Arabidopsis thaliana: one gene and its partner. The protein of the gene in region 1 purifies or fractionates together with the protein of each later gene. This does not show direct contact. Each region holds a gene or a part of one and is shown on either strand. Other genes may lie near its edges.

Region 1 (4,847 bases):
TTGTGTTAATTAACAGAATCTCGGAATCATTAACCGATTGAACCAGCAGAAGATAGGGAAAATTGTTCATAGTTCTTGTGCAGTAACATTGTTATATCAATAATCCAAGAAAGGCCTATTTGATTTTTGTGTACTGGAGCAAGTTTGTTTCATGTATAAAAGATGAAATAGGTGAAAAAATTTTAAAGCCTTATGAATGATACAAACACAAAAGAGGAAAACTTGCGTTGTTGTCAAGCGAGAAGCCAGAAGTTTTTGTGGCGTTTGGTGGTGATTAAGTAACCGCCGAGCTTGCGGTTCTTGGGTTTAACCGCGATTGTCATGCAAGAGGCGTTTTCGAGGCAGTATTTGAGAACACCTTCGTGTCCACGGCGTCTCTTCCACGCCCATCTCTTCAATAGCCTCCAGACCGGAGGTTTCTTCTCTTGTCCAACCACTAAAAGGCTCACTTGTTGTTTCTTTGATTCTTCAACTATCTTCTGCCCTTTGTCTTTGTCTTTCCCCTCTAACCTCCTTATCTCCACTTCTATCTGACATTCATAAAAGAAATCCACACGTCGCCAGAATTTGATCAGAACAGTAATAGTGTAGCTTTCATTATATGTATAAACAATCGAATACCAAGTGTGACTCACCCCGGGTCGTTTCGTTTGGCACAGTTTCTTTAAAGTATGGACCAATTCATCGGTTTTCACCTCGCGTTTTCGGTTCTTCCTTTTACCTAAAACTCAATCCGAAAAACCTCATTAGCCAAACCAAACAAACCTTAAACAAGAAAATTGACAAAGAGGAGAGAAAGAGAAGAACTTTTTCTAAACGGTTTTGCAAAGTATAACAGAAAAAGAGTGTCTTGTGGTTGTAAAGTATGCGTAATAGCCCATTCTAAAGCTCCGGTAGAAGCAAGCGCTTTATCAACCACCACCATTACTCTATTCCCGCCTTCCGCCTCCTCCTCAACCGCCTCAACCGCTGCCACCGCCTCTTTTTTTCCTTCTCCGCCTCCAATGTTAAAGCTCTTGGCATCATCTTGTTCTTTTTCTTCTTCCTCCTCTACAATTACTTTGACTCTTTCTTCTTCCTTATCTTCAACCTCTTCACTTTCATTGTTTGCTTCTTTGGTGTCTTCTTCTCCGGATCCGGCATCATCACCATTTTCGCCTAGAAACTCGATTCTTTGGTCTCTCTCTATGGAACTCGAGTCCGGTTTGAACCTAATCGAAGGTGAATTGATCCGGACTCTTCTTAGACTCAACTTGGCTGATTTCTTGAGCGATCTCGCCATGTTTTTGTTTACAAAAAGAACTCAAATGGGAACCTTAGCATTGGTTCTTGAATGTTTTGAGCGTATGTATACGTGAGGAAATTTTTTGAGAGAGGACGTGCGTGCCATTAAAGATGTTTGATTGTTAATGGTTCCACACGTTGTTGTTTTTTTCTTTTTGTCAAGCTCTTCTGTTTTCTTCATTAAATTAAACGAGTCCAAGTTTATTTGATAAATTGTTAGCTCAATCGATTGTGGAATTCACTACCGTTGGAGAAAAAAAAATTTATTTTGTAGACTCGCAAAATCATGAGAAATCTTTGAGTGGTGCTCTAGTTTTGTCGTGGTCAAAATCATCCACTTTGTGTAAAAGAACAAATCCAAATTTGATTTGTTTTCTTTGCTAACTACAAAACAATTCTAGTGGCAGCCCTCAAGGGTTATACAAGGTCACTTGTTCCAAACCATGAACTCATAAATTTATCATTTTATCACATCCAAATCCAAATTATTGAGAAGATTAGGTAAGTAGGAGTCGCTAGTGACCAAAACCAAAGATATATTTTATTGAATCACTAAATCACAATACCTTTGTAAATTAAGTTATCTGTCATACTACTTTGTTATTGAATAATGTAAGTTGCCAAAAATAAAGAAATTCATGTATAGTTTGGTCGTATAATCAATTTGTTGAGAATTTTACTATTTGCTACGTAGATAACTTTTAAATTAGCAAAACACACATAATTACGTGTACAAGTTTGTAGATAAAATTTTCAGAGAACACACAAAATGCAAATAAAGAAGTCAATAATAGGCTAATAGTAGCATTAATGCAAAACACGTAATCACAGTAAGAGTAAAACACAAATACAAAAGGCTATATAAAGAAACTAAAGCAAGTAGAAGAAACTGAAACTTTGAGCAAATCCAAGAGAACATGGCGGATAAATCAGAAACCACTCCACCGTCAATTGATGGCAACGTTCTCGTGGCCAAGTCACTCTCTCATCTCGGCGTAACCCACATGTTCGGCGTCGTTGGAATCCCCGTCACGTCTCTAGCTAGCCGAGCTATGGCTTTAGGTATACGTTTCATCGCCTTCCACAACGAACAATCCGCTGGTTACGCCGCTTCAGCTTACGGTTACCTCACGGGTAAACCGGGTATCCTTTTAACGGTTTCGGGTCCGGGTTGTGTTCATGGGCTCGCGGGTCTTTCCAACGCTTGGGTTAATACATGGCCGATGGTGATGATCTCTGGTTCTTGTGATCAGAGAGATGTTGGTCGTGGAGATTTCCAGGAGCTTGATCAGATCGAAGCGGTTAAAGCTTTCTCGAAATTATCAGAGAAAGCGAAAGATGTTCGTGAAATCCCTGATTGTGTTTCTAGGGTTTTGGATCGAGCTGTTTCGGGTCGACCCGGTGGGTGTTATCTGGATATTCCGACTGATGTGTTGCGTCAGAAGATATCGGAATCGGAAGCTGATAAATTGGTGGATGAGGTTGAGAGATCACGGAAGGAAGAACCGATTCGTGGATCTCTGAGATCGGAGATTGAATCGGCGGTTTCGTTGCTGAGGAAAGCTGAGAGGCCGTTGATTGTGTTTGGTAAAGGAGCTGCGTATTCGAGAGCAGAAGATGAGCTGAAGAAGCTTGTTGAAATTACTGGAATACCCTTTTTACCAACTCCGATGGGTAAAGGTTTGTTACCGGACACACACGAGTTCTCGGCGACTGCGGCGAGGTCTCTTGCTATTGGGAAATGTGATGTCGCGTTGGTGGTTGGAGCTAGGCTTAACTGGCTTCTTCATTTCGGAGAGTCGCCTAAATGGGATAAAGATGTAAAATTTATATTGGTGGATGTCTCTGAGGAAGAGATTGAGCTAAGGAAACCTCATTTGGGGATTGTTGGAGATGCTAAAACTGTGATTGGATTGTTGAATAGAGAGATCAAAGACGATCCTTTTTGTTTAGGGAAGTCTAATTCATGGGTGGAATCGATTTCGAAGAAGGCGAAAGAGAATGGTGAGAAGATGGAGATACAGCTTGCTAAAGATGTGGTTCCTTTCAATTTCTTGACTCCTATGAGGATAATCAGAGACGCTATTTTGGCTGTGGAAGGACCGAGTCCTGTTGTGGTATCGGAAGGAGCTAATACAATGGATGTAGGAAGATCTGTTTTGGTTCAGAAAGAGCCAAGGACAAGGCTTGATGCAGGAACTTGGGGAACTATGGGTGTTGGTTTAGGTTATTGTATTGCTGCTGCTGTTGCTTCTCCTGATCGGCTTGTTGTCGCTGTTGAAGGAGACTCTGGTTTTGGCTTCAGCGCCATGGAAGTCGAGGTAGTAAAAAGATTTACATACTTATTAGCATAATGTGGAAATTGTCTTTTGTCTGAACTTTTGTCTTTAATGATGATTGCAGACATTGGTTCGATACAATCTTGCTGTGGTGATTATAGTCTTCAACAATGGTGGTGTCTACGGCGGTGATCGAAGGGGACCTGAAGAAATCTCCGGTCCTCATAAAGAAGATCCAGCACCAACATCATTTGTTCCTAATGCAGGCTACCACAAGCTCATTGAAGCCTTTGGAGGCAAAGGTTATATTGTGGAAACACCCGATGAGCTTAAATCCGCTCTCGCTGAGTCGTTCGCCGCAAGAAAACCCGCGGTGGTAAATGTTATTATTGATCCTTTTGCTGGTGCTGAGAGTGGGAGATTACAGCACAAGAACTAAAAAGCTTTGTGGAGAGTCCCTTTAAATAATGTTGAAGTTGTTTGTTGTGAACAAAAAGGATATACGTTTTAGTTTTCTGTTTTTCACTATTGTAAACCGGATCATAAACCGGTCCATTTTAAACCATAATTGAATAAAAACACGTTTCCGGTTCAATTCTTAAAACCTAAAGCTATTTATATGGCGCATGTTAGCCTTTAATGGTGTCTGATGAGAAAGAACACAGAGAACAGAGTCGACTCCAAGTCCGACACAACATGAAACCAGGTCTGAATCTTCTTCCTCGACGGATTCTTCTATTTTCGATTGCGTATCCGAGATTTTGATGTGGGAATTTGGTTTATCTTTGATTTTTTTTTTTTTCAGAACTTCCTGGGTTTTATTACGACGAGGAGAAGAACAGATATTTTCCCATTAAAGGTCCTATCCCTGGTGCAAAGTCTTCTTCTTCTTCAAGAACGAAACAAAAACCCGAGCCAAAGCCTGAACAGGTCAGTTTACTACAAATTCAACTTTTTCAAGTTTATGTAGTAAAGGTCGAGTCTTGCAGAATCAATGAGAATTCTCCAATCTTCTCTAGCTTGAACTTGTTTATGTAAATCAGTGATTAGTTATATGGAAATTGCATCAGGAAACTAATTATCAGAAGAGGACTAAACTAAAAGCATTGAAGCTAGTTTATTCCCGAGAGTTAAATGGCAATGTTATTTCTGTCAACAAGAAGATGTCTAACTTCAGGGACGAGATTCAAAAGACACAAGCTTCTTATCCTGTGGTAATTACCACCTAGAATAACTTAACCTTTTTGTTTCTTATTTAAGAGTACAGAAGACAGATATGAAACA
Region 2 (5,859 bases), on another chromosome or scaffold:
CTGATATTTTATGGTGCGTGCTTCAGGAAATATTTCTTTCATTTTATGCATGAGTTCTTGGAAAGAAATAGTCTTGCTAATCCGTATGATACGCGTTTCACCACCTACATACCTAAGTTTCTGATCTCTGGGGCGGGGTATAACTTTACCACCAAAACTACACAAGAACTTCGCACGGTTCAAAGAGCTATCAGAAGCTCTAGAAGAAACCAAACTATGACGCCTTTGACCAGTATCATTTTTCGAAGAGATAACTGGGGCTGACTGGACCAGTTCATGATAGGTCTTATCTTCAATTCTAGAAGGGGGTTTCCTCTCGTGCTCAAAGCTCTGACGTTTTTCTTCTATGTTAAGCACTGTAGCGTTAGGGCCACTCTCTGACATTGGATGAACCATTCCCAGAGCACTTAAGTTAACAGAAACAGGCATACCACTGTGCTCACCATACACATTTGGGATGAACTGCGGTTTCATAATAACCCTATCTCTCATAAACTCAAAAGCAAATTCTTCACCGGTCTGTATTGAGTAGTTTAGCACTGGCCGAGCAGGGGTTGAAACACCATAATCTGGAGGTCGTACATAAGTGTTAACATTAGTTGAAGAGTCGTGGGAAAACCTTTGATTAATGGAGCCAAGTCCCTCATCTCTAGGGTCAGGGGCAGTATACCGAACATGTTCATAACCTTTTGCTTGATCCATGTTTTCTTTCTCAAGGTGTCTATCTATCTAGTTCATAAGCTCCCTCACAAACGCTTGTAGGCGACATATCATGATCATGACCCAAGTAAAATCTTTGCATAAGCATCCTTCGCAAATTTCTAACGTTTTGGCTGCAGAACAGGACGACTTCTATCATGAACAACTCAAACTCTCATTGAGGTGCCTGAAATAGGAGAAGAGTAACTTTACTCAAGTAGTCAAACATATTCAAGAACAAAAAAACCAAAATAGCATACGGCTAAAACTCAGAAAACCATACTATTTAAGGAACATTTTCGGTATACAAACCAATAAAACTCTTTACTCTAGCAGGGACAGATCATCCAGTACAAATATCTGACTGTGCATACTTTCCAACATGAAACTAGCTAAAATGACTACTTTCTAGTCTCTTCAAGTTTAAACTAACAGGAATCGCTGAAACTAAAATCGATCAACTTCACCAAACTATTAGCAAACCCATCGTAACTTTGAGAGAGTGTAAATCAACAGATCAAAACATAGAACTAAATCCAAAATTCAATCAAGTCCGTGAAACAATTCCAAACCTCAAAAAGGAAACAAATAAGCGTCATTTCGAACCAAAAACTGAGCTAAAAACCTCTACCCAACCAAAAAACAAAAGCCGATCAAGCCATCAAAACCACTGAAACTCTAGAAAATGCAAGATCTGAGTATCATTACCCGAAATTCAGGTGGAAACACATCGGATCCAGAGATTTTCGATAATAATGATCAAAATTCAAAAACAGCATACACCTAAAAGGAAGACGAGTAAGCAAAGAAGGAGAGAAGTAGAGAAAAAGGTTTATACCAGGAAAGGCGGCACCAGAGACTGTGAAGCGTCCTCGGTTTGACGATCGATGAGTAGGAGAAGAAGCCAAGTCCTTCCTTAAAATCTCTCTTCTAATTTTGACAATTCGAAAAACAAAACTATATTCTCGAGAAAAAAACTATTATGCCTACCAATAAAATAATTGTTATCTACTTACATTATTTAAAATTCTGAAAAGCAAATAAAATATCATATAAAACATAAGAAGCTTTCGTCATCTCCATAGTTAGTCTTTTGTAATATTACCACTCTGATCCAATAAAGTTTTATTTCTTACTAATTAGTTTACACTTGAGAATTTTGGTTTCTACTAAATTTTTTAAAATTTGGAGTTAAAATAGTTTAGTTTTATTTTTGGGGGAAATAAAAAGAGAAGCTTTATTCCAATTTTCCAAATATTCCAGGTGTAATCTAACTGTCAAGGCCATAATAATAAATACATAATTCCACCTGACGCCAATAATAAATTACATATTTTCCTTTTTTTTTTATTTTTTTTTCTAATTTATTTCCAAAATTAGCCGCAAAATCACAAAACCTAACAGAGCTCAACACTACACACTGTTTCAAAATCAGACTACTATGCTCAGCTCAGCCGCCACCGCCACCTCCGTGAGTGCTCGCTCCGGCGATATTCTCTGCGGCTTGTTTCGCAAAAAATCCGTCGCGCCTTTTCGTTTTACTCAGCCTGTGAGTTCTCCTCTGTGTGTGGACGTGTTCCTTTGTGTCTTTGTTTCATGTTCTGCTAAACTTTTTAATATTAGTGGAATTTTCAATGAGCAGGTCTATCGTACGTCGCTGTGTCCAAGTTTCGTTGCTGTTCGAGCCATGGCAGAGTCTCAGACTGCTCAGAGGAATCAGCCGCAATCCTCAGGCTCCTCTGGTTTACAATTTTTCTTTTTGCTGCAATTTCAAATTCAGTGATCGATTTTCAGTTACGTTTTAGTGATTTTCAAATAATCGGGCTTTAATTGAATCAGGGGAGAAGCAAGCTTTGATATCTCTATCTGACAAGAGGGACTTGGCTTCTCTTGGCAACGGTCTGCAAGAATTGGGGTATGTGTTCTTCACAACTCTCTCTTACTTAGAACTATACAAATTTTGGTTTTGTTTCTATCTTATATGTAAATGATTCCTTTTTTCATTGATATTTGTGTAGATACACTATTGTTTCTACTGGAGGAACTGCCTCTACTTTGGAGAATGCTGGAGTCTCTGTGACCAAAGTGGAGAAGCTTACTCATTTTCCAGAAATGGCATGTTTTTCTTTTCTCTTATGCTCGCTGCTCTTGCTAAAAGTTTTGGTCTTGTGATCTCGCTGATATTTATATTTAAGTTTTGGTTTATACCATTGTTTTGTTGAGTTTAGTATATTAAACTTAGCTCTCCTTTTTTTTTTTCTTCTCTTAAAGCTTGATGGCCGTGTGAAAACTTTGCATCCAAACATACATGGTGGTATCCTCGCTAGAAGGGATGTGGAGCATCATATGGAAGCTCTTAATGAGCATGGGATTGGTGAGTTTTGACCTTTGATTGATCCTCTACATTAAGCTTGAGACTAAGTCATTTATAGTGTCTCCTTATGTTTAACTGTACCTTTTTTTTTTTTAATTCTATGACAGGTACATTTGATGTTGTGGTTGTCAATTTGTACCCGTTCTATGAAAAAGTTACTGCTCCAGGTGGGATCAGTTTTGAGGATGGGATTGAGAACATTGACATTGGTGGCCCTGCTATGATTAGAGCAGCTGCTAAGGTAATACATATATCTGTGCATATGAGACTTTTTCTTTACACTTGCAAGATTATTTTCAAGATTATAAATGTATATTTTCTATTGTTTTTTCAACAGAACCACAAAGACGTTCTCATTGTTGTCGATTCAGGAGATTATCAAGCTGTTTTGGAGTATCTCAAAGGAGGACAGAGCGACCAACAATTCCGCAGAAAACTTGCGTGGAAGGCCTTTCAGCATGTTGCTGCATATGATTCTGCGGTTTCAGAATGGCTATGGAAGCAGACTGAAGGAAGTATGTGATTGTTTTTATGTGATCCTCCTTACACTAGTTATGGCAATTGGCAACTTACATTGATTGATATTCATGTCTTTCTCAGAAGAGAAGTTCCCTCCCAGCTTTACAGTTCCGCTTGTACTTAAGAGTTCTCTTCGTTACGGTGAAAATCCTCATCAAAAAGCTGCATTTTATGTTGATAAGAGCCTTGCTGAAGTGAATGCCGGTGGTATCGCAACAGCGATTCAGCATCATGGAAAGGTAAGAAAGTATGCTACTTTTTCTGTCCGGTGTAATTTACAGAGCAAATAGTTTTAAACTGCCATTTATATCCTTATCCTCGCTTTCAAGCCTTATTATGTTTAACTTTTCTATTTATTTCTGTGAGCAGGAAATGTCATACAACAACTATCTTGATGCTGACGCTGCATGGAACTGTGTGTCGGAATTTGAAAACCCAACATGTGTAGTCGTGAAGCATACAAATCCTTGTGGTGTGGCCTCTCGTGATGATATTCTTGAGGCTTACCGGCTAGCTGTAAAAGCTGACCCAGTTAGTGCCTTTGGTGGCATTGTAGCTTTCAATGTTGAAGTTGACGAGGTAATCAAAAGTCAAACTACTGTTGTCCCATACATTATTCAATTGTTTAGTGATCTGTAACTGTCTCTAGGTTCTTGCGAGGGAGATCCGAGAGTTCAGGAGCCCAACAGACGGGGAAACTAGAATGTTTTATGAAATCGTGGTTGCTCCAAAGTATACTGCTAAAGGTCTTGAAGTCCTCAAAGGGAAATCAAAAACTTTGAGGATCCTCGAAGCTAAAAAGAATGACCAAGGGAAACTATCGCTCAGACAGGTTGGTGGCGGCTGGTTGGCTCAGGACTCGGACGATTTAACTCCAGAAGACATCAGCTTCAATTCTGTCTCAGACAAAACTCCGACTGAAAGCGAACTTGCGGATGCAAAATTTGCCTGGCTCTGCGTTAAGCATGTCAAGAGCAATGCCATTGTGATAGCAAAGGTTGGATTTTCCTCTCTGATTCCTTTTCTTGTTTCTCTTTCTGTACTTGTTTGCTAGTAGTTTATTCTGATTCTTGGGTTGGCTCATAGAACAATTGTATGCTGGGGATGGGAAGCGGACAGCCAAACCGAGTAGAGAGTCTGAGAATAGCTTTCAAGAAAGCTGGGGAGGAAGCTAAAGGAGCTGCCTTGGCCAGTGACGCATTCTTCCCATTCGGTATATATATTTTTCTCTCCGAAACCATTCTTCTGTCTGAAATGACTCATCAATCAACAAATGTTAGCCGTTCTGAATTGGAAATTTGTTGTTGTGTGAATTGCAGCTTGGAAAGATGCGGTGGAAGAGGCGTGCCAGATGGGAATAGGAGTGATAGCAGAACCTGGAGGCAGTATTAGAGACCAAGACGCTATTGATTGCTGCAAAAAGTATGGAGTCTCTCTGCTCTTCACCAACGTTAGACATTTCCGCCATTAAGGACACATCCCTCCAGTTTTGCTCTTATAAACACATCCAAGAGAGTTTCTGAAGAAGAAAACCCACCAAACAAAACACAAAGAGTGGGAAATAAAACTGTTGTAACATTAATTTGGATTGCGTTCGAGTTTATGTATGATTAGAACCTGAGAGCTGTTCCTACTTATAAATTTGACATTTTTCACCCAAAATCATATCTTTCTCTACATCCAGAAACTGATGAGATTTGCATATAAAATATTCAACATTTCTACTCAAACTGGAGTGAGAAAGTCGACGACAGTGTGGAGAGAGATCAGAGATGGCGACAGGGAAAGTGGTGGTGGAGAAAGTGGGAGGAAGATCTACAGCTACGAGCTGCTTCTCGAAGTATCCTCTCAAGTTCTTACTTCCTAGCAAGGTCTCCTCTCTCTCTCTACGTAGAGTTCACAGTTTCGAATTTTCAATCTTTAGTTATTAAAGTTCCGGCGACACTGAACTTTCAGGCAGCTCCTGCTGGAACTGACGTTGTCTGGATTTACAGTATCACTTATGGTGGCGGCATTGTCTCTGTATTTCCCTATTTCTCTGTCTCTTTATTAATGAATTTGCCATCGATGCGCTTGAATCAATCTAGTTCTTGTTCAAATTATGTAGGGCGATTCGATTTCATGTGAATTCACAATTGGTGATGGATGCACTGCAGTTATTACAACGCAGTCTTCTACTAAGGTTGAATCAATTTAGGGCTTTTCTCTCTCTTTGCAATGGACACTAATTTCATCCTACGTGGTTGACTTTCTGTTGATGGATCTTG

Evidence for each region.
Region 2: the proteins of AT5G17380 (region 1) and AT2G35040 fractionate together in Arabidopsis thaliana (co-fractionation; one large-scale study listed by BioGRID). This does not show direct contact.

What each region holds. Positions count from the first base shown.
Region 1 is NC_003076.8:5,724,075-5,728,921, reverse strand, and holds AT5G17380 (Thiamine pyrophosphate dependent pyruvate decarboxylase family protein), read left to right. Parts: upstream 1-2,009; 5' UTR 2,010-2,201; coding exon 2,202-3,605; intron 3,606-3,687; coding exon 3,688-4,002; 3' UTR 4,003-4,163; downstream 4,164-4,847. Other genes in the region: AT5G17390 (Adenine nucleotide alpha hydrolases-like superfamily protein), read right to left, coding at 234-530, 636-721, 808-1,282; AT5G17370 (Transducin/WD40 repeat-like superfamily protein), read left to right, coding at 4,203-4,269, 4,369-4,493, 4,634-4,777. UniProt on the Arabidopsis thaliana protein: Catalyzes a carbon-carbon cleavage reaction; cleaves a 2-hydroxy-3-methylacyl-CoA into formyl-CoA and a 2-methyl-branched fatty aldehyde.
Region 2 is NC_003071.7:14,764,551-14,770,409, reverse strand, and holds AT2G35040 (AICARFT/IMPCHase bienzyme family protein), read left to right. Parts: upstream 1-2,091; 5' UTR 2,092-2,140; coding exon 2,141-2,248; intron 2,249-2,322; exon of another isoform or gene 2,323-2,341; coding exon 2,342-2,441; intron 2,442-2,538; coding exon 2,539-2,614; intron 2,615-2,717; coding exon 2,718-2,814; intron 2,815-2,970; coding exon 2,971-3,073; intron 3,074-3,180; coding exon 3,181-3,314; intron 3,315-3,410; coding exon 3,411-3,588; intron 3,589-3,673; coding exon 3,674-3,831; intron 3,832-3,961; coding exon 3,962-4,171; intron 4,172-4,241; coding exon 4,242-4,589; intron 4,590-4,678; coding exon 4,679-4,805; intron 4,806-4,911; coding exon 4,912-5,063; 3' UTR 5,064-5,265; downstream 5,266-5,859. Other genes in the region: AT2G35050 (kinase superfamily with octicosapeptide/Phox/Bem1p domain-containing protein), read right to left, coding at 1-702; URED (urease accessory protein D), read left to right, coding at 5,365-5,463, 5,549-5,614, 5,700-5,774.